Linked DNA regions of Rhinolophus ferrumequinum. The protein of the gene in region 2 binds, or shares a complex with, the protein of the main gene of each other region. Links are inferred from orthologs where the notes say so. Each region holds a gene or a part of one and is shown on either strand. Other genes may lie near its edges.

Region 1 (7,001 bases), on a different chromosome or scaffold from region 2:
AATATTTCCTAAATCTGCCTCGCTTGACTTCCGGAAGAAACCTCCAGATATTAAATCCCGCTAAGGCTGCTCCTCTGGGGCGGTGAAAAACTGTTAGTCTTTTTAAAAATACGTTAAGTTATTAAGTGCACAGCACCACTATTAATAGTAGCAATTATTCTGATCCCTCCCATTTGTATAGCTCTTTGCAACGCACCTAGGACCTTCACAGTTATTAGCTCGTGTGAAAGGCATAACAATCTTGTGTGGGAAGCAACATAAGTTCTATTATCTCCATTGGACAGATGAGAAAACAGGCTACAGGGGGTCAGGTGTTAATAAATGGTTTATAACGGAAAATGCAATATACATAATCTCTGCCTTCAAAAAATTTAGAGAGGCTGAACTAACACATGAAGTACCTGAATAGTAATAACTATCAAAAGTCAAGTAATTCCTCCAACAACTCCATAAAATGAGCAGCAGTAATATATCTATTGAACAACTGAGGACACAGATGAAAAGAGGTGGCTTGAGGAAAATCACCTGAGTGTTAAGCAGCAGACCCAGATGGCTGTCTGACACCGTATTATTGGAGTATTTTTCTCCAGCACATATTCCTGGGTGCCAGCCTTTCTCCTAGGCCAGCAGAGTAAGATGGCCTGCAAATTCCCAGTGTGGGGGAAGGAGAAGCTTTCCTCTACTCTTCTAGCTTCTTTCAGCTGGTCTAATAATCAAATCAACATGAGACAGATTAACAAGAGAAAATAACCAAATTTAATTACATACTTAAGTATGGGAACCCCATATACATGGGCAAGTCAGAGACCCGCCACCTACATGAGAAGTTCAGAGATGAAGAGGGAAAAGGAGGTACATGTGACATTTTGAGCTAAGGATAAAGTAAGGCACATTGAGGCTTTAGAGGGAACAAATGTCATTTGCAGGACAATAAGAAGAGCAGGTGTTCAGTAATTAGAGGTTTGCCCTGGCCTATAGATAGACATAGTAGACATAGATATAAAAAGTTATTTCTGGTGATAACTCTTATTATGGGCAAGGCCTCTAATGTAAATTCTTTAAGGGAGAGATAAAAGTTTGTCATGAGACCACAGGGTCTTGACTGTTTTCAGCTCAAAATAATTCACATGCCCAAGTGACACATCTTGGGGAGGCCTGTTTTGAACCCCTTCACCAGCCTAATGGGGCGAGTGAGTTGAGTCTTCATTGACTCTACATATAAGATCCCCAAGTCGACACCATTGTCTGGGTCTCTGGTACTGGTCAGCGGGGACTCCCAGACGACGGGCTCATGGCACTGAAAGTGAGCAATGTCTCCAGTATTACACTGGCAGGAAGGCCTAGATGGCCACCGCTTCAAAGCGAGGGCATGGAAGTGGAAGTGGAAGTAGCAATCCTAAAACTGGATTGCAAGCATTTCTTGAATACTCAGTAAATTGCTCAGTTCAACCATTCATCCACCTATATTGACTGGAGAGGACTGTGCATTTTAGCACCCCACAGCACAATGCCGTTGACAGTCACAGCATTGCTTGGATGTCAGAAGAGTTGAGGTCTCATCCTAGCTCTACTGACAACTACCTGGGGAGCCAGGCAGAGCCTCTCTGGACCTCAGTTTCCTCTCTTGTAATTATTCTTAGAGATTACCCCAAAGATCGTTTATTCACTAACTCTGATTCTCACTGAGGATACTCTTCGATTTTAATCTGAAGAAACATTCATTGCTAAAAATCCGAGATGGATAAAATATAGGCTCTGATGAGTTCCTTGTTCCCTTCTTTCTTGGCACCAGAAGAGGAAGAAGGAATCAGTCTTTGGATTTTTTTCATTTCTTGTGAGCTCATAGCCATACCACCACCAACTTATAACCACTTTCCAAACCTTCACTCCTACTTCTTCCCCAACTTCCTGAAAGCAAGAGGTGATCAACGCTCACTCTGGACAGAAAGAAGCCCCAGAGTAGTGGCTTCCAAAACTTGCTGGACGCCAGATTCACCTGTGAAGTTTGTTAAAAGTACATATGCCAGGGCCCCATCCCGGGAGACTGATTTAGTAGAGGTGGAGTCCAGAAGAAAGTACCTTCGATAATTTTCCCTCCCATTTTGCAAGTTTGCTTAAAAGCCTCAGTAAGCCCTTTGCTGCTTTAAAACTGCAACATCTATTTTAAATTGCAACCACCACCACCGCCCACCCCCTCCACCCCTCACCCCCACCATACACACACTTCTTATCCTTCTTCCCTGTTTTGTTTTCTACCATGGCACTTACCCTTTATCATACTACATCATTTACATATTTATTTAGTTGATTGCCTTCCCCACTGCCCCACCTCCACTTCTAGAGTGTAAGCTCCATTAGGCCAAGGGTTTTGTTTGTTTTATTCACCTGCATATCCAGAGAGCCTAAAACAGTGCCTGGTATATAGTAAACACCAAAAATATTTGTCAAAGGATGGCTGAATTCCAGAGGCAGTAAAGCATAATAGTTAAACTCATAGACTCTTGCAATAGACTCCTCAGTCCAAATCTCAGTGTTGACACTGGTTATAAGACCTTAGGTAGATTACTTTTAAGTTTTCTACACCTGGGTTTTCTCATTTGTTATGCAAACGACAATAATGCCTACCCAAACTAGAGAGCTTATGTAAAATATCACCTCCACCACTCCAAGCAGTGGACTTTTAAGCTGCTCTGTGCCTCAGTTGCCTCCAGTGTAAACTGATCAACCGTGGTCTGGGGACGCAGTGAACATTCCTTCAGTTAATGGCCTAGGAGCCAGGAGCAGGAACCAGACCTGGCAGGAAGGGTCCAGGAAGGCCGGATGAGGTGGCTTGGGGTGGAGTGGAGGGGAGCAGCACTGATTCCCAGGAAAGTGATCCATTCAGGAGCAAGTCTGGGGGTGGGGGGGGGGGGGACCGGTGGAAGCGACGTGTCTTGCCCTCCCCGAGCTTCTGGGAAAATACCTAGAAGCTTAGGCTGAGACGAGGAACGAAAGAAAAGAGAAAACTTCCCCTCACCCATCTGGGAAATGGGCTCCTGCCAACTGCTGACTTTGCGCTCACTGGCTCAGTTCCCTGCGGAACCCCCGGCGGGGAGGGAGGCTGCGAACATCTGGAGGACATTTCTGCAAAAGAGCCGCTGCAGAGCAGGGCTCGGGGGAGGGAGAGTTGCACTTGTACGCACGTCGGGCCGAGAGGGAGGCTACTCCCCCAGGCCTTCAGGCTTGTTTTCCTCCGCCTTTCTTGCAGCCCCTTCTCCCCAGCCCCAGCCCCCAGCCCCCAGCCCTCCTCGCCTTCCCGGCTCCGACTCGCGGAGCCTCGGTCACTGACGGCCTCGCCTCGCCAGAGGGCACCCTCGATCTGCAGAAAAACGCCACCATTTTCAGTGCCCCTGGAGCATCTCCAAGCTTCAGCAGGCTGCCCGACTCCAATCTTGTCAATGAAGAATCGTGGCCAGGATCGCCGCGGAGCTGAACCCAACTCCAAGCCCGCAACTAGTCCGGGCATCGCCCCAACCGAGGGTGGCACGGCCGCCCCTGCCCAGGCCCCGCGCACGCCCGACCCTGCACAGTATCGGGCCTGGCCCGGGAAGGAGTGAGACTCGCGGAGGAGAGGGACAGACTGACAGCTGGAGAGGGCGAAGGAGTTGGGGGAGAAGCAGGGAGGGGATTCATCGGAGTAACTTTCCAGAAAAACAGTCAACGTGTAGCAGGAGTGACTCCAAGAGGGGAAAAAAAGTTCAGTTACCACGTCGAACTAGAGGACTCGCAAAGTATTTTTCAAATGGACTCGGCTTTTCCTGTGCCTGTTTAAAACATTAAAATTGTGCAGCAAAAGAGGCTGCGTGCGCTGGTCCCTCCCTCCCCCACCCGGGCCAGAGACGTCATCGGAGGGAGGTATAAAATTTCAGCAGAGAGAAATAGAGAAAGCAGTGTGTGTGCATGTGTGTGTGTGTGAGAGAGGGAGAAGAGCGAGAGGGAGAGAGAGGGAGAGGGAGAGGGAAACGCAGGAGGGAGAGAAAGGGAGGGAAGCAGAAAGCCAAGTCCGAGGCAATGAGCAAGGGAGGCGAGAGATAGGGGAAGAAGCATGAGAAAGAAGGAATAACAGCTTTCCGGAGCAGGCGTGCAGTGAGCTGGCTTCTATTTTATTTTTCTTTTCCTTTTTATTTTTTAAAGAGAAGCAGGGGACAGAAGCAATGGCCGAGGGAGAAGACAAGCCGAGGTGCTGGTGACCCTGGGCGTCCAAGTGGATTATTGGGGCTGTTCTCCAGGGGCCTGTCCTCCCTGCCTTCCAATTGCACATAACCCCACATCCCAGCCAATGAAGACAAGAGGCAACGGGAACAAAGTCATTTAGAAAGCCCCCGAGGAAGTGTAAACAAAAGAGAAAGCATGAATGGTGTGCCCGAGCGACAAGTGTGTCCTGTGCTGCCCCCACCTTTAGCTGGGCCATCAGCAGCCCAGCCCTGCCTCTCCCCACCTACTCACTGGTGATCTGACTTTTTTTTTTTTTTTTTAACAATTTTTTCCCCTTTTCTTTTTCATTCTCTTTTCTTATTCTCCCTCAGGGCAAGGCAAGGATTTTGATTTTGGGACCCAAGCCATGGTCCTTCTGCTCCTTCTTTAAAATACCCACTTTCTCCCCATCGCCAAGAGGCCTTTGGCAATATCAGATATCCGCTCTATTTATTTTTACCTAAGGAAAAACTCCAGCTCCCTTCCCACTCCCAGCTGCCTTGCCACCCCTCCCAGCCCTCTGCTTGCCCTCCACCTGGCCTGCTGGGAGTCAGAGCCCAGCAGAACCTGTTTAGACACATGGAGAAGAAACCCAGAGCTACAAGGCACACAGTCGGCTTCTTCGTGCTCAGGGTTGCCAGCGCTTCCTGGAAGTCCTGAAGCTCTCGCAGTGCAGTGAGTTCATGCACCTTCTTGCCAAGCCTCAGTCTTCGGGATCTAGGGAGGCCGCCTGGTTTTCCTCCCTCCTTCTGCACGTCTGCTGGGGTCTCCTCCTTGCCAGGCCTCACAGCCTCCCTGGCCTCTCTCCCCGGCTCGCATATGAAGATGCACTTGCAAAGGGCTCTGGTGGTCCTGGCCCTGCTGAACTTTGCCACGGTCAGCCTCTCTCTGTCCACTTGCACCACCTTGGACTTCAGCCACATCAAGAAGAAGAGGGTGGAAGCCATTAGGGGACAGATCTTGAGCAAACTCAGGCTCACCAGTCCTCCCGAGCCATCGGTGATGACCCACGTCCCCTACCAGATCTTGGCCCTTTACAACAGCACCCGGGAGCTGCTGGAGGAGAGGGAGGACGGCTGCACTCAGGAAAACACCGAGTGGGAGTACTATGCCAAAGAAATCCATAAATTCGACATGATCCAGGGGCTAGCGGAGCACAGTAAGTCCAATTCTCGCTGGGTGTCTGCTCTGAAGGGTCTGAACTAGAGTAGGGAGTTCCACGGAGGGGGCCCTATCGGTGGCTCGATGGCTCAGGAGGTACGATGCGCAATTGGGGCTGGGTAGGTGGGTGGGGAGGGAGACAGAGCCATTCTGGTAAGAGCCTGGCGCTTCTGGGAGGCCAGGAGCCCTGTGGTTGAGCTGCTTGCCGAACTCGAATCACATCCTTGACTGATTTTAATTTGGAGTTGCACGGTGCTGTCCCATTAACATATGTGCTCTCACCCATGCGAGCAGATGGGTAACTGTAAGCCAAAGGTGCCATAAAGGGGCAGGGCTGGCTCTCTCTCAAGCCCTACAGTTCCATGAATCTGGAGACCTCTGGCTTCTCCCTACTTTTCACAAGTCACTGTGACACGTCTCTGGTTCCGTTTCTCCAGTTCTTGGGAAGAAGAGTACCTACCCCACATTAATGTCTGTCAAGCTTTTGAAGCCCAGGCAAGAGACAGCTTCTTACTGTCTGGGTCCTTCAGTCTCCACCACACACGTGACCCACGTGAGCTGTGGGCGTGGGGGAAGGGTACACACCTCTGTTCACATGTACATGTGCTTTAGGGCGATGTGTAGTCTGGCTTTTATAACAGAAGACAGATTTTTGTGCTCAAAATGGGTGTCTTCCAGGCCTGTGGACACAGGAAGGCAGGGTTGTGGCTCTGGATATGTAGACGATTGCTGGCGGCCCTTTCGTGTCTGCGTGTCACGGGAAGAGTGGATGGGAGGTGTGGCTGTGGGTGCAGAGGGAACGTGTGTCTGGGAGTGTGCCCTCCCAGGAGGCTCCTGTCTGTGCCGAGGAGCTGGGAGGCTTCTGAGTGAGACGTCTCTGTGTTTGTACACGTGTGGAAGTCATGTGTGTTTACTGAAGAGGGATTTAAAAAACCTCAACATGAGAGACAGAGATTTGGCAGATGTTGAGAAACTGACAGCCCAGGAAGGAAGAATGTGAGCCACTCGTGGGCCAGGGACTCTGGAGAGATTTCTGTTTGCTTTTCCTACCAGCAGGTGGCCTCACCACCCTGACTACCTCAGCCCTGGCTCACCTGGGAGGTGCCTAGAGTGGGAGCTGGAAGGTGGGATGGAGCAGGCCGGGTGAGAGTGGTCAGCCATGGGGGTGGGGTGGGGAGGTGGAGGTAGGGGAGGGACTTCAGGGTTGAAAGGAACCTGGCTAGAGAGAAGGAAGAGGAGAGGATGGCTGATGGGTGGACGAGCTCTGGCTGAAGGTGCAAAAGGCCCCAGTGGGAGCTGGTCCTTGCCAGGCCCAGGAGCCTGTGGTTACTGGCGAGGGTTTCCCGCTCCAGTTTCCTGTGGTGCATGGAGCGCCCTGCCTTAGGATGTGGCTACTGTGTGGGGCGGAGGCTGGAGGACAAGAGCTAGTGTGCCCTGCCCAGGGTCCTCCAGAGGGGGCTGACATGGGGTCTGCCGGGGGCCCACAGTTCCCAGAGACACCGACAGCTAGATGGCTAAGCCCCCAACCCCTAGGCACCCATGAAGGCAGGAGTATTAGAGGCCACAGCTGAGGAGGGTGGAAAGCTGAGGCAGGCAGGAGAGGTTTG
Region 2 (7,602 bases):
AATGAGTCACAGATATCCTCCCTTAGTAAAGTTCTGAGGGATTGATTCAATCACTTTTCTGAAAGGAAAGAAAAGAGATGATCCATATACTCAGACTAAAGTCAAAGACTGTTAGAGCAAAAAGGGTCCAGCCCACCCACTTCACAGATGGGGAGACTGAGCCTGAAGATGGCAATGTCCTGCACTGGTCATGGTGAGTCAGTGGCTGAGCCAGCGGGGCAGGAACACAAGCCTGGGGGTTCCCTTCTGCCTGGCTCAGCTCTTGGCTTCTTCCCAAGAGCTCCAAGGTGAGGAGAGGGGAGGAACAGACTGCCCTCCATCAGGCATTTGTGTGCCTCTTCCTATTCCATGCAGTACAGCGACTGGCCTACTCAGAGGCACAGGGATACCCCTGCGGTAGGGCATCCATGTTAACTGGAAACCTACCCTGGCCACCTTGCCAGTCTTGCCTGGCTCCTTGACCTTTCCTCCCCCACAGCCTCTTGGCCAGCTGCGGCCACTAGGCATGGCCTCCCTGTCCTCAGCTCCTGGACCATCCTGCTTAAAGAAGGAACAGCAAAATGAACACAAACACAATGACTGCCACTAACTATGGAGTGCTACTATGTTTCCCCGAAAATAAGACCGAGTCTTATATTAATTTTTGCTCCAAAAGACGTATTAGGGCTTATGTTCAGGGGATGTCTTCCTGAAAAATCACGCTAGGGCTTATTTTCCGGTTAGGTCTTATTTTCGGGGAAACGCGGTAGCTCTGTCAAGATTGTGCTGAACGCATAGATCCCTTTGCCTTATTTAATCTTCTAAGGCATATTTACTCCTTAGAACACCCTAAGGAAATTGAGGCTTAGCGGGTGGGCTGCCCCAAATCAGATAGTCAGAGGCTCAAAACTACTATTGCAAGTTCCTTTTCCTATTGGTGCCAGCCAAGTTCTGAGCACTGGGCCCTCAGCTGGTCGAGCACCCAGGTTGAGTCTTTCGGCACAGTAAATAATACCAGCCACACTTCCTGAGCATTTACTGTGTTGGGGGCACTGTCCTGTGCATTACATGTTACCCCATATGCAAGCCCATGTCCCATTTCACCTCTGGATACTCAAAGGCTCCCCGGGCACTAACCTCTGAAAGTTAAGCCCGGACACAAAGCTGGCCAAGCTCAGAGCCTAAAACTTGCTTCATGCCCAGGGGCCCAGGACCCTGTCAGAGGCCGAGAGGAGGCTGCTGGCAGGTAGGCCTGCACTGGGCTACCCAAGTCTCCAGTCTAGTCCGGGAAGGAGCTTAAAGGCCAGGGCAGCTCTCGGCACTCCATTTCCAGGGTGCCCACCACTTCCTGAGCGCCTGACTTACATGGGGACTGACTTACATGGGGAGGGGTCTTGGGGGAATCAGCCCTTGCCAAGTTTATAGCTTCTCCGACACCCCTACCCAAGCTCTCTGGGATGCCAAATGCCACTGCTCCCTACCTTTTTTTTTTTTTTTTGAGGGGCGCAGGGCTTGACACCCAATTCCATTTTACCACCTGACCATAGAAGGAAAACAGGGTAGGGTAGGAAGAGTCACACAGCAGTGGATAGCATAAGCTCGGGACAGCTGGGTTCGAATCCTGCTCTGTTACTTCCTATTTGTATGAGCCTGGCAGGTCATAGCTCTTCTCTCAGCCTTAGTTTCCTCAGCTGAAAAGAGGAGTTCTGGCAGGAGAAAAGGAGAGAAAGCCCTCAGCATGGTGCAGGTACCGCTTCAGCCCTGAGTCTGTGGCAATTTTTGTTTTACTATTTTGAAAATCATCATAATTCCTTCTGTGGTAGTTCGGAAAGTGCTTCCCTGCCCAGTATCTCATTTGCCCTAAATCCAAACCTCACCCAGTTCCCCTTCCTGTTGGGTGGCCCAGACCCTTCACCTCTCGGAGCCTGTCGCCTCAGGTAGAATGTCAGCTATATTTGGTGACATGTGAGTCCTTCTCTGATTATTATGGGTTCTAGGAATCTCAGAAGGGATCTGAAGAGCAAGAAGTGAGGTGACAACAGCAGGATACTGCAACCCCAAAGAAGGGCTGCTGGGTTCCTGCTGCCAGCACATCCAGTCTCCAGAAGCAGCTGCCATTCTGTGTCATAAGCTTCCAGCCCCAAGTCCAGGTGGAGCTGCCAGAGCTCCTGCCTTGAGCTCAGCGACGACTCAGCCTTACAAGTAGACTGAGGTGGTCCCTTTTCTCTGTACCCCACAAGGTCACAGTAGCGTTAGGGCTAGTCTCCCTGGCTCAGGGACTAAAAAGGAAACAAAGTGAATCAAATCTGGCCCTCAAGAAGTTCTTGGTCTTGCAGGTGAGACAGGCTTGGACCCATGTGTCAACTATGCCATGTGCTCAATATTGAGATGGAGGGAAGCTTGGGGTTGCGGAAGTCCAGACAAGGGAGGAAACAGAACCAGGTCAGCCTGGGAAGAATCACAGGAAGAGTCAGCATTTAACCTGGGCTGTAATGAGTGAGAGACACCCCAGCAGGGATGTGGCATACGGGTCCAAGTCAAGGAGAACAGTTAGAAAAGGGGATTTGTCCTCAGGAGGAACCTAGTACATGAGAACCCTTCCCAGCTGGCCCACCCCAAATTCCCCCCCACCATATATATATTCAACATTACCCAGCTGACCACTGCCCTGTGGGGGCAGCTTTGGGGGAACAGAGTTCAATGTTGGGCCTACTGATCCTAGTTGAATGATTTTTGGACAAGTTACCTAATCTCTCCAAACCTCAGCTTCCAACTCTGTAAAATGGGAATAATGGTACTTACCTGGCAGGATTAATAGTAAATAGGTATTTGAACATTCTAGCAGTTTAAATGCATTACATGCCTTGCCTTTCCTCTTCTGACTCGTCTAACTTCTGGCTTCTGGGGCTGGGACAGTAGGATACCCTAGGGCTGGGGAGAGGAAGCTTACCCTTTCTGGCAGGGTTTCTTACCATCTTACAAGCACCGTGTCTCGGTGTTGGGAGGTAGCCAGGCCCCAGGTCAGCACGGCCAGGAGCAGCAGGGTCTGATGGCTCATGGCTCTGCATAGAGAGGGAAAGGAAAGGGAATAGTGTAAAAACTCAGGCTCCTTCCCACTGCCAGCCCCCACCCTCTCACCCTGTCTGTGCCTGGCCTCAGGGAACCCCAGGCCACAGTCATAGCTGGAATTAAGGTGCGTGAATGGGGAACGTTGTGAAGGGGGCAGGAAATGGGACTGTAGCCCATTGCAAGGGGACTCCAAGGCCAAGCCAAGGAGCTGGGCCATTCCCCACCCTCAACCCCACCCCCCACCCCAGCAAGAATTTTTAAGCAGTGGGTGACATGATTAGATTTGGGTTTCAAAAGACCCCACCTGGTGGAAGACAGTCTGGATGGGGTAAGCAGGAGGCAGAGGGACCCTAAGGGCTGCCCTAGGGCTGGGGTGGGATGAGGTGGGGAGCTGGGCCTCTGACTCCATTTCTACACAAGCCACAAGCAGCTCACCCCATCCTAGTTCCTCAGGCCCCAAACAGAATTCCTCAACACCCCCACCCCCACCCCTGGACTTTATTTTGCCCTTTTTCTTTTGATTTTCTGATTCTCCAGTCCCTGCCATTGTTTGAAGGCTGGGCCTGGAGCCTTGACAGGAAGCCCCGCCAGGAGGCCTGCCCTGCCCCCAGCACTGAGGTAGTGAACTTCCCCAGGAGCACGCTGCCAGGCCTTTTACTTTCACTGAAGCCACAGCAAGTGCCAATGCAGAGGACACTGAGGCCTGCTGAACCCGCCCTTCTCTCTATGAGCAGGGGGAGCACAGAGACCCTCAATAGGGTGGAATCCCAGTGTTGCTAGGGGTTCCCTCACTGAGGACATGGGCCAAGTGCTAGGAACACACAGATTCATCCATCGATTGCACTCATCCATTCATTCACACCTTTACTGAATGTTTCCTCATGTCTGGCTCTGTGCTGAGAACTGAGGATACAAATAAATGCACAGAAGTGACATAATACATACAGAGCATTAAGAAAGAGGGACACACAAAGCCCTCCTAGGGCGCTGGACTCAGAGTCACCCATACTTGACTGTTACTTATGTCTCCTCCACTTACCTGCTACGTGACCTTATGCAAATCATGTCACCTCTCTGAGCCTCAGTTTCCTTTTCTGAAGTTAATGCTGACCTGCCAAGTTTTGGTAAAGATCAATAAGATATATTCTAGGAAAGTGCCACTTACAGAGCCCTTACCGTGTTTCCCCGAAAATACGACCTAACTGGAAAATAAGCCCTAGCATGATTTTTCAGGAGGGCATCCCCTGAACATAAGCCCTAATGCGTCTTTTGGAGCAAAGCTTAATATAAGACCCGGTCTTATTTTTGGGGAGACACGGTATTATGCACCAGGTACTTTTCTTGACACTTTATATGTATTAACTCATTTAATCCTCCCAGTAATTCAATGATTTGGCTCCATGACTCCCATTCCCATATTGCAGACGGGGAAGCTGAGGCTCAGAGAGATTCAGTAACACATCCAAGGTCTCACAGCTAACAAGTCTGGCTCCTCGGTTTGTGCCCTTACCCTCTACACTATAAGGTCTCCCAGAGATGCTGAACGGTGACTCTGAGGATACTTTATAAGAGGCATTTCTAGAACTTTGAGGGCTGGGTCGTTACTGTTGGGACCCACTAGCATCCTTGCGATGAATTTTAAGTGAACGTGGCAATTGTGAGGTTCTTTCTTGTTCATACAGGCAGGGGCCACGGCGGCCTTTTAAACCCTGTTCCTTGGGTTCCCCTCAGCATGGGCCTCTGCCCCCACAGCTGCTCTCTTCTCACCTGCATCACAGGTTGGGTTTTCACAGGAAATTTTGTTCTGCTGTTTAAAAAGCAGAACATCATCACCCATCTGAAAGCTGGTATACTCAGAATTGAGTGGAAACCCCTCAGCCGGGCCTCTGAGGCCCTTGGGGAGTGTGCCGCATCCAGCCAGCTCTCCTTTCCAGCTTCATTTCTCACTGTCCCCTCTCCCACTCTGGGTTCTGAAAGCCTCCTATTTCCTTTACTTCTCAGAGCCCCTTTTCTCTTGTGCTGAATACCTCCTTATCCTTGGGGTCTCAGCTTAGATGTCACCTCCTCCCAGAAGCCTTCCTGGTTCCCTAAATCTGGGCTATGTGTTGGTCCCTCCTCCAGGTTCCCATAGCCCTTGAGCTTCCAGGGAGCACAGCACCGAGCACTCTATGGTTTAACCACCCCCCACCCCCGCCGCCCACTCCTATGTGAAGTGTCCCTAGGGCAGAGGGGCTCACTGTCCTCTGGGACCCATCTCAAACCACTGGGCAGGTGGGGAGGAAGCACTGAGAATTGACATGAAGTGTCTTGGTGACACTTGCGAGAGCAGTTGTTCAACTTGACTCTCCCTGCCACACTTATTCCTTCCCCACCCCACCCCCTACCCCCATTGGCCAGCCAGCGGGTTCTGTCTGCTCTCCCTGAGAAATAGGCCCCATGCTCTGCCTACCTCCCTCCTCCATCATCGCCACAGGCTGAGGCACCACCATGACCCTGGGCCTCTTTCAGTCTGTCTGACACGTAGCAGCGCAGAGGTGTTGTTAAATCATAGATCAGATCACGCCTCTCACAGCTTGGAGGAACCTCCAGTAGAGCCCAGGCTTTACACCTCTCCTCTCTGACTCCATCTCACCAAATTCTAGCGTTCTCGCCATTCTTTGGTCATTACTCAAACACAGCAAGTGCATTCCTGCCTCAGGACCTTTGCCCTGTTGCTCCCCTCCACCTGGAATGCTCTTCCCCAGATCCCTACAGGTTTTCTTGTTTCCTCACCTTGACCATTTCCTCATAATTAATTTTTTATTCTATGAGAACAGGGGTCTATTAAGGGGTGCTCACTAAAGAGCTATGGAGCAAATGAGCTGAGGGGTGAGTGTGAGGGGAGGACAAGCAAGGGTCCGGTTTAGCTCTGACCTGAAGGCATTGCCGCTCAAAGCGGTCCTCATGTCCCCCTCCTCTGCCTGCCAAATCCCACCCTACCCCCAAGATGGGCACCAGAGCATCCGGCAGGGATTGTCCCTGCAGCAGTGGAACTCTGCTCTGGCATCTGACAGAAGGGGACTCCTCAGCTGTGTGCATCCATCAGCAGTGCCCAAGACACAGTGTGTAGAATTTGAGGGTGACTTTTTCTCAAGTGGGAGGACTGGGGTCACTCAGAAGCAGGCTCCCATCCAGACTCGACTGCTCCCCAGCCTGTTCCCTGGGGCAAGTCCCTTAACTCTTCAGTGCCTACTCACCATCCCTCGGGTAGGGCAAGTAGCCTGGTTTCCGTTCTGCCATTTGACTACCCCCACCATTGTGACGATCAAGCTGAGAATGGCTATGAAGGTGCCCTGGACACATGTTGTCTTTCTAGCTGGTACCATGACCTGCAAGGCTGAGCAGCCCAGGTCAGGTGTGCTGAGGGCGGAGGCCCCAGGCCGGGTGGACAAGTGGTGACAGGAGACATCCTAGGGACTCTGACTGGAGGGAGAAAGGCTAAAGAATAGCTGTGTGTGTGTGTGTGTGTGTCGTGTGTGAGAGAGAGAGAGAGAGAGAGAGAGAGAGAGAGAGAGAGAGAGAGAGGAGAGAGAGAGAGAGAGAAATGGGGTGGGGCAATGCCTACTATCATGATAAGCCTATCCTTACTATTAAGGATATTAGACACTCTTTAAGCACTTGACCTATATTATCTCACTTAATTCTCACAACCCAATGAAGTAATTACTATGATTTCCATTTTACAGATGAGAAAACTGAGGCTCAGAAGGATGAAATGACTTACCCATTGCTACCCAGCTCATAAGTGCTTGGGGATTTCGCTCAGGTCTACATGACCCAAATGCTGTGTTCTCTCCAGCAGGTGTGAGTTGCCTGTCCCTATAACACTGCCCTCAATTTGCCTGTGAGGAAAGAGGCTCAGAGAGGCGACTTCCCCAAAGTCACACAGGCGATAAACAGCAGAGTCAGGATCAGAGTCCCGTCTGTCTGCCTCCAAAGCAAATGTTTCCACTACCCCAGGCCAAGCTCTCCCTCTCTGACCCCCTCCAATGACAGCCACCCTAACATCCACAAGCAGACAGGCTCATGATGCTGGGCTGGGGGTGTTCTCCCCCTCCTCTCAGCAGGGATCATTGGCAGAGGGGTCCTGGGAGAGCTGCGGATCCCCGTTCGGAGCAGTGAATCACTAGGGCAGACCTGTGCATCCCACGGGGGGGAATTAGACCTTAACCCAAAGGAATGTGGCTGTGATGGCAGAATTTCAGGCAGCCCAGGGTGGGGGTGGGGGTCCCTCACATCTTACCACCCATAAAGAAGGCTGGCTTTGGAGCCCTTTTGAGGGAGAGGGGGGTGCACCCCCACACTCTATATAGGCAGGTTATCTGGTACTGTGGATGGGAAGCCCACGCAGGCCTAAGTCAGAGGATGGCAGGAGACCTTGATTCAAATCCTGATCTGCCACTGACTAGCTATGTGTTCCCGCCAAGTGCTGGCCTTTCGGCTGTTGTCTTCCCATCTGTCAAATGGGAAACGCCGGCCACGCCCTTCGCGGGAAAGATTCGCCTGCTACAGGAG
Region 3 (7,772 bases), on a different chromosome or scaffold from region 2:
CTGCCTTCCACTTCTGTGACCTTGGCAAGTCACATTCCCTCTTGAAGCCTCAGTTTCCTGCTATTCTTTGGGAAATGGCTTCCACATCAAGCTCCCTGCCTTCCAACCCAGGCTCTCCTCGTTGAAGCGCTATGTAACTTTGGGCAAATGAATTCCTCTCTCTGTGCCAGATTCTCACCTGTAAAACAAGGAACGACTGACTGCAGGGTGAGAGTGTGAAAGAAAGTGACACGAATAAGATGAAGCGTGTAGCACAGAGTCTGCACACAGTGGTCACTCTAATGTGCGTGTTAAAGCACACTCACTACTTGCCAGGCGATATTCAAAGCACTTCGCATTTAAACTTCACAACAACCCCAGGAGGAACATATTATTTATTATACCTGTTTTATAGAGGGGGAAACCTAGGCACAGGAGATTAAGAAATTTGCCCCAAGGTCACATAGCTAGGAAGCTGCAGAAAGGGATTCAAACTCAGGAAGTCTAGTTCCAGACTTCAACCGCTCTCAACTACTAGGGTATGCAGCCTCCCTGTTAATATGACATTTATTATTATTATTATTATTATTATTATTATTAATTATTTCCTCCCTTAGCTGGTTAGAGAAGGCAAAGTTCATTTTAGGTAGGAATGGCTTAGTGGGGTTAGAAAATTAGGAAGAGTGTTTACTAGTTCAGAAAAGTTTGGGGGTGGGGTTGAGAGGGCAGGCCATGAACTCCCGGATCAACTGGGGCACCTATTTTAGGCCTCTGTAGTGTGGGTGCGAAAATGGGAGACAGGATCTGATGAGAAAGGTAAAAGGTAACCCCTTCTATGGGCCCCCTTTCCGTACTCTTCCCCCCTCTAGCCAGACCAGCCCCTCCCCACAATAAGCCCTATCTTGGCCCAGCGGTTACTCAGCAACCCCCAGAGGAAGGATAGAGCCTGGTGGGGAGACAGATAGGGAGGAAGAGTAACAAGATGGGTAGGGAAAGGCAGACAGGGAGAGGGAGAGAACGCGAGACAGGGAAAGGTGGGGAGGTGTGGAGGAGGAAGAGAAAGAGAGGGAAGAGGTGCAGAACCAGAAACTGGGAGACCCACAAACGGACAGAGAGACTAATGAAAATGCGGGAGAGATGGAAAAACAGAGATAGGAGACAGAGAGACACACGGGGAGAGAGACAGAGGGTTTGGGGAGGAGATGGAGACGGTCTGTGAGGAGAGGATTGAAAGTATCAGTGTTAATCTCTACAATGTAGAGAAATCTCTAGAATGATGGTGAAGCAACCATGGAAAAAAGGTGAGATGAAGACAGGGGTGGAGATGGGCGTCATTTGACTGGAGCCACAGTTGGGCGCACAAAAGGGCTGGAGACCCACAAGTCCACTGCCCAACAGGGAAAGTTAAAGGAGGGAGACCCCGAGCCTCTGGGCCACTTGGGACGCCGGGGTACCCGAGTGGGCGCCGACGGGGCTGGCCCAGCGGTAGCCCCGCCCGGAGCTGGGGTGAAGAGGGCCGGAGGCGCTGGCGCTGCGAGGGCGGGGACCGGACCTGCCCCGTCTCGCCCCAGGCCCCTCGCGCGATCCCCGCCCCCCAGGGCACGGGAAGGAAAGGGAAGGGAGGGCGGGAGAGGCCGCCGGAGGCTGGGGTTTCCCCAACCTCCCGGAGAGGAACTGGCACTTTGGGGTCCAGATTCTCAGCCTTTAGAGCTGCGGGGTTCTCTTCCTCCCCACTTCCGGACGCGCAGCTCCTCCCCACTCCCCCGCGCGTGGCACCCACGTGGGGCTTCCTCACCCCAATCTTGCAGAGTCGCACCCACCACCTCTCCCCCTGCGGCTGGACTCCTCGCTCAGCCCACTGCCTTCCATCCGCGGTGTGGAGGGTTCGCCGCTCCCAGTAGGCCACCGTTTATCTCTCCTCCGCCCCTCTCCCGGTCCACCTTTCCCACGCGTCTCTCCTCTCTGTAAACCCCTTCCCACGACCCAGTATTCTAGGTTTCCTAGGGGCTCGCTTCCTCAGCTGGGCTTCCTCCTCGCACGTCCACCTGTGAAGTACTCAGGGCACCTCCCCGGGCATCCCCCGTACCCCAGAGGTCTCCGCTTCTTTCCCGCTAGCTTCCCTCTTCCTACGAACTCGCGCCCACTTCTTCCCCGCATTTCTCACCCCCAACCGTCTCTCTGCTCCACCCCCCAATCCCGCGTATTCCTGGCGCCTGCTGTAAACTGGTCCACTTTTCCTGGCACCTCCGGGCTTCGCTTTACCTAGCTTTTCTGTCCTTCTTTAATCTTCTCGCCTCACGATCCCTGAGCTCTGCGTCAGCTTTCCCTACTGCTTCTCCTTGCTCAGAAATGGGGTCTTCGCTTCTCCCAAAGCGGGCACCCTGTCTTCAGCCCCTATCCCACGACCCCCACACTCTAGTGCACCCAGTAGCCGAAAGTCTTTTCTACCCCTCCCCCATTGCTTCTCTCCCTCTAGGGGACTCCCGCGCCTCGATCCTGCATGTTCCGGTCGCTCTCTAGAAGCTGTCCACTTGGTTCACTATCTCCTCTTCAAGACCAGACACCTGGGGGTGGAGGGAGCTCTTTGAGACTCCGTCCCACGTTCCCAGCGCCCCCAGGAGTCCTCTCTCTCCAGTTTCCTCCGCTAGTTATTTCCTCCCCGACCCCAGCACGCCGGCGCCCGCTGGGGGCTCCCCTCCAGGATCCCCTGCCCCTCCGAGCTCACTGTGGCTGTTTTCCACCGTTAGCACGCGGGTGACCTCCTTGGCATAGTAGTCCGCCTCCGGCTCCGGCTCCGGCTCGGCGCTCTCTCCGGCCACCCGGTCGCGGGTACTGTTGTAAAGGGCCAGCACGGCCTCGGGCAGCGGGCCGGGCGGCACATCCCCCTGGCTCGGGGGGCTGGCGAGCCGCAGCTTGGACAGGATCTGGCCGCGGATGGCCTCGATGCGCTTCTTCTTCACCAGCTCCATGTCGATGGTCTTGCAGGTGGATAGTCCGGCGGCCGGCCGGCCCGGGGTTAGTACTAGTAGCCACAGCAGCGGCAGCAACAGCGGCAGCAGCCGCAGCCCGGAGGGCGGCATGGGGGAGGCGGCGCCCCCGGCACTGCCGAGAGCGCAAGCGGGGCTGGGATGCGAAGAGGGAGGCCCCACCCCTACAGGGGCTGGGGGGGAGGTCTCCCGTGGAAAGGTAGGAGGGCCTGCGGGGAGGGGGAAGTTGAGGCCCTCGCGGAGGACGGAAGGGAAGCTCTAGCGGGTGGCTTCTCGGTATCCCACGGAAAAACCCGAGATGGGCGCGATCTGGTACCAGAGGTGGGTGGTCTCGAATAGGGAAGCTGAGGCAGGTCTGAGAGAGATCCCGTCTCCCAGACTCCGGAGAAGTGTCCTTGGATGCGCGGGAGCTCAGGAGAGGGGCGTGCGCCCGAGGTCTTGGGGTCAAGTCTTCGCGGGAGTCGGGTTTGTGGTTCCTGAGGGCTGGTCCGGAATGGGGGCGCCTGAGGGACGACGTGTAGGCACGGAGGAAGCAAGCTTCCGAGGCGGTGGGGGAGCAGTCTGCGGTTCCCAAGTGCTGCCTCCTCGCCCGGCAGCGCCTCGCCAAGCGGTCCCCGCGCCTCCGGCTCCCAACGGCAGCGGAAAAGTCTCAAAACTTTTTTCCCTCTTCTCCCTACCAGCTCGTCCCTCCTCCCGCTCCTCCTCCCCCTCCTCCCCGCAGTGGCGGCGGCGGGGGCGGCAGCGGCTCGTCTCAGACTCTGGGGCCTCGGGCTGCTCCTCGGCGGCTCCTTCCTCCGCTCCCGGCTGAGGCCGACCCGGCGGATGGCTCCGAGCCGGGGGGGTGCCCCGGAGGGGGCGTCCCCCCTGCCCCCGGCCGGGGGCCTAGCTGTCTGGCGGATCTGCGGCGGGAGGAGGGGGGTGGGACGGCCCGGGGCGCGAAGGGCGGCGGCGGTGGCGGGGACCGGCTGGGGCGGCGGGGGGTTTTGAAGCCGCCCCGGCCCCACCCAGGAAGCGCGCGGGGCGGGGGTGGCCCCCAGGGGTGAGGGCATGCGGGGGCCGGGCCACCGTTCTCAGCTCGCGTGGGCGGGCTCTGAGGGGGGTCCCTTAAGCCCCGGGGGAGGGGGCGGGCACCCCGGCCCCGCCCCACGAACAGGGTGCTGCCTCCTGGCGGCCGAGCGCTACCAAAGCGGGCGACCCGGATGCGTGTGGCTTTGAAGACTGTGTGTGTGTGTGTGTGGGGACGGGGCGGGGGAGGCGGCTGGTCACCGAGAGAATGAAGACCTGGGGAGGAGGGCTCAATCAGTGGATGGGGACACAGTTGACAGGGAATCAGAGGAGGGGACGCAGAATAGAGTTGGAAGCTGGAGAGAAGGTCAGCCAGATGGGGGAACCTAGTGGGGAGAAGGGCACAGAGGAAGGGGAGCCCCAAGGAGAGGGGTCATAAGAGGGGCACCCAGAATGGGGAGATCAGAGTTTGAGAAGGATGGGGGATGCAGGTCTGTCAAAAGGTGGGGGCCTGAGGAAGGAGGGTGTCAGTGGGAGGACAGGGCACAGGCCATCTGACAGGTCAGGAAGACACCCACACCTGTCAGAACTGCTTTCCTTTATTGAACATTTCCATGTGCAAGGCAGCCTCTTCTCTTCCAAACCCCTGGGACCCCACACATTGCTGTCTCCATTTCACAGATAGGGAAACTAGGCCCCAGAGGGACAGCTACTGGGCTTCAGAGGTGCTAGCCAAGACAGAAGTCGCAGTGTGCCTTGGCTCCGGGCAGGTCTGACAGTTTCCAGAGCCCAGACTTCTGACTATTGTGCCATCCTGCCCTTACTGGGTGTCCAGGAGTGGGGATGGGGGCCCGTGAGGCAGCGTCCCTCAGCATTCAACGCCATAGCGGTCAAAGTGGCGCAGGAGTAGACCCAGCTCAAGGTGCACGGTGCCACCGGCGGCTGTGTGCAGGCGATAGCGGTCAGCCCCACTGTAGATGGTGTCCCCATGCAGCAGCTGAGGGCCACCACCCACGAAGGCCCGTGCCAGCTGCTCCCGCCAGCTGCCCAAGGGCCGCCACGTGGGGCAGTCCAGCTTGTGGGTGCCGGGACTGCTGGGTACATGGCAAAAGCCATAGCCTGCAAGCTGGCAGCGGCCAAAGCTGTCCTGGGACCAAACCTGGAGATGGAGCCGGGGCCAGCCTGCAGGAAAGGAGGGAGGGAAGAAGGGATGGGACAGCCGGGTCTCCAGCTTGTGGATCCCCACTTCCTTGATCTCCACTGGAGACCTCAGGTAGTCCGTTCCCCCTGGGTTTCTTCCCCAGCCTCTTCTTTGGACTCCCACCTCAACATGGCAGCCAAAGGGATGTTTCTGAATCCATGTTCCTCCACTGCTTAAAACCCTTCCATGGCTCCCCAGTGCCCTTGGTATAAAGTCCACCTCAACATTCAAGGCTCTTTGGATCTAGCCTCTGCTGACTTCCCTCTCTGGTTTCCATCTCAGTGTGGCCCAGTCGCCAGATGAGTAAGTACCGTGGGCCTTGTCCTGGACACCTCCCTTCTTCCCACACCCTGGCCCACCCTGTCCTCTCTGGGCTCAGAGGCTTCTTTCTTGCGCCCTCCAATCCACCTTCCACCTGGCATCTGGAAGCATCTATCTCCCCCTCCATAAGTTTCCCACTGTCCTCAGACTACAGTTCAGCTCCTCAGCTTGGTAGACAAAGCCCTTGGAGATCCAGTCCCATTTCACCCTCCTTTCTAAGCCCCTCTGTGCTAGGCCCTGTTCCAGAAGCTGGGGACACATTGGTGAACAGAACAGACAAAAATTCTTGCCCTTATGTAGCTGACATCCTAGACAACGAACATAGTAAATAAGCAAATTATAGGGTATGTCAGATGGTGATAACTGCTCTGGAGAAAAATAAAGGTGGGTAGGGTGGGGGTGGGGATGCAGTTTTAGAAAGGTGGGGATCAAGAAAAGCTTCACTGAGGTAACATTTGAGCAAATGCTTAAAGGAGAGAAGGAGTGGGCCATGTGGACATCTAGGGAAGAGTGCTCCCAGCAGGGGGAACAGCTGGTACAAAAGGCCTGAGATGGGAGCTGCCTGGGGAAGCCAGTGTGGCAGGAGCCCATTGAGAGAGGGAGCAGGGAGGAGGTGACAGCACTAGATCATGCCGGGCCTTGGGATCCATGGTAAGGCTTTGGCTTTTATCCTGAGAGATATGGGACGTAGAGGGTTCTTAGCACAGGAGGAACGTGACTTAGGTTTTTCCCTGAGTTTAGGGTGGGAACACCAGTGAAGAGGCTACTGTAATGGCCCAGGTGAGAGGTTAGGGTGGACAGACCAGGTGCCAGGGGAGAGGGTGAGGTTTAGTATGCATTCCAAAGGTAGAGCCAGTGGGATTTCCTGATGGACAGAATGGGGCGGGGGGAGGGGGGCGTTCAGGAAAAGAGGAGGCCAGGATGATATACCCACACAGGGGGTCTGGGGGTCTCAAGAGTGAAAGGACAGTCGCCTGCCTCGCCCTCTAATCCATCACCCTTTAAAAGCAAAATCTGACTTCTTAGTCGCCTGCTGTGTCTTCAGGAGATGGCCTCAGCTCTGCAGCCTGACATTCAAGGCCCTGCCACCTGACCCCCTGCAGTCCTCCTGCTTTATCTCCGTCCTCCAAATGCCCTGGCTCACTTTACCCTTTGTGCCTTCTGCACACAGCTCTCTGCCTAGAAACCTCTTCCTTCCCTCTGCCTTATTAGCCTACTGGACCTTCACAGCAAAGCTCAAACATCCCCTCCTCCAGGAAGCTTTCCCTGAACTCCCTGGCAGTCAGGAGCCTCCTCTTGGCTCCCACAGCTCTCTATAATCGCCCATCCCAGCCCTGTCCACTCTGGGCTGCCACTTTCTGGGGACAGCTCTGTCTCCCCCATGGGATGGTGAACCCTGTGAGGACAGGGCTGGGGGCTGTCTCAATCACTGACATCTCCCTGACATCACCCACCACAGGACAGGCACTCAGTAAATATTGTTTATATTGCTGAAATATACGGCATATTTACCTAGGCTATTTCCTGGAATCCACTGCTCTCTAATGACCCAAATTTTCCATCAGAAAAGATTTTCTGATACCATTCCTCCCCCGCATACTCATTTCCACTCTGAACAGCTGAGGAGCTCTGCCTGAGAACAGCCACCAGCCCTGCCTCTCTCTTATAAGCCCTCCCAGCTTCCTCCTGAATGAAAACTCTCTTCGTTTGTCTCTTTCAAAGCCACCTCCTCTCTCCCCCTGGTCTCCACCTTCCCCTTTCTCTCTCCACCCCTGGCCTCTGACACACTCTGGAGCCAGCCCAGGGAAGTAGCAGATCAGCCTCTCCAGGACCAGACCTGGCCGGGAAAGGGACCCACAGGGCATGGGAGCAGGGACAGGACTTGGTGTTCCCAGTCCCAGCAGCATGGCGTGCTGCTAACCCCCCTCCCTTCAGTCAGGTCCAGAGCCCAGGCCAGGAACCCACCTTGGAGACCTTTGGTGGCGAAGTGCAGGTCGATGGGGTGGGACCAGTAGGCCATGTCCCCTATTTGGGGGGTGTCCACCTGCGTTTGGCCCTCCCGTATGCCTGACAGGAGCTTCCATGCTGCCCCTGCAATGAGAGCCAGAACACCAACGGGACAGGGAGAGGTCGGAGGCAGCCATCAGGAAGGGGATGCTCTTGTGGCTGTAGGACCACGTTTCTCCCTGGCACTGGGGGGCAGGGGTTACAAAATGGGGACTCTGGAGCCAAATGTCTGTGTTCAAATCCTGGGACTACTTCTTCCTGCCTGTGCACCC

The links.
Region 1: the proteins of LRRC32 (region 2) and TGFB3 are in contact, whole or in part, in a cryo-EM structure (PDB 8VSB), measured with the Homo sapiens proteins. The link is inferred for Rhinolophus ferrumequinum from reciprocal best matches to the Homo sapiens genes LRRC32 and TGFB3. Residues at the interface, in NP_001122394.1 of Homo sapiens: Ala110, Ser135, Tyr137, Ser160, Val184, Met186, Asp187, Ile188, Asp190, Phe193, Leu202, Leu204, Arg206, Asn207, Ser208, Thr210, Cys211, Ile212, Ser213, Asp214, Phe215, Ser216, Leu217, Cys227, Asn228, Ser229, Lys254; in NP_001316868.1 of Homo sapiens: Leu24, Ser25, Thr26, Cys27, Thr28, Leu30, Pro347, Pro349, Tyr350, Leu351, Arg352, Thr357, His358, Val361, Leu364, Leu368, Ser375.
Region 3: the proteins of LRRC32 (region 2) and TGFB1 are in contact, whole or in part, in a cryo-EM structure (PDB 8VSC), measured with the Homo sapiens proteins. The link is inferred for Rhinolophus ferrumequinum from reciprocal best matches to the Homo sapiens genes LRRC32 and TGFB1. Residues at the interface, in NP_001122394.1 of Homo sapiens: Ser135, Tyr137, Glu158, Ser160, Thr162, Val184, Met186, Asp187, Ile188, Glu189, Asp190, Phe193, Leu202, Leu204, Arg206, Asn207, Ser208, Leu209, Thr210, Cys211, Ile212, Ser213, Asp214, Phe215, Ser216, Leu217, Leu223, Leu225, Cys227, Ser229; in NP_000651.3 of Homo sapiens: Leu30, Ser31, Thr32, Cys33, Lys34, Pro325, Pro327, Tyr328, Ile329, Trp330, Ser331, Leu332, Thr334, Gln335, Tyr336, Val339, Leu342, His346, Ala353, Pro354.

The regions. Positions count from the first base shown.
Region 1 is NC_046289.1:22,844,444-22,851,444, forward strand, and holds the start of TGFB3 (transforming growth factor beta-3 proprotein), read left to right. Parts: upstream 1-3,925; 5' UTR 3,926-5,052; coding exon 5,053-5,392; intron 5,393-7,001. UniProt on the Homo sapiens protein: Transforming growth factor beta-3 proprotein: Precursor of the Latency-associated peptide (LAP) and Transforming growth factor beta-3 (TGF-beta-3) chains, which constitute the regulatory and active subunit of TGF-beta-3, respectively.
Region 2 is NC_046294.1:51,148,971-51,156,572, forward strand, and holds the start of LRRC32 (transforming growth factor beta activator LRRC32), read right to left. Parts: upstream 3,038-7,602; coding exon 2,966-3,037; exon of another isoform or gene 2,955-2,965; coding exon of another isoform or gene 2,952-2,954; intron 1,352-2,951; coding exon 1,341-1,351; intron 538-1,340; coding exon 534-537; intron 1-533.
Region 3 is NC_046298.1:39,655,172-39,662,943, forward strand, and holds the start of TGFB1 (transforming growth factor beta-1 proprotein), read right to left. Parts: upstream 3,095-7,772; 5' UTR 3,060-3,094; coding exon 2,705-3,059; intron 1-2,704. Other genes in the region: B9D2 (B9 domain-containing protein 2), read right to left, coding at 4,840-5,153, 7,459-7,587. UniProt on the Homo sapiens protein: Transforming growth factor beta-1 proprotein: Precursor of the Latency-associated peptide (LAP) and Transforming growth factor beta-1 (TGF-beta-1) chains, which constitute the regulatory and active subunit of TGF-beta-1, respectively.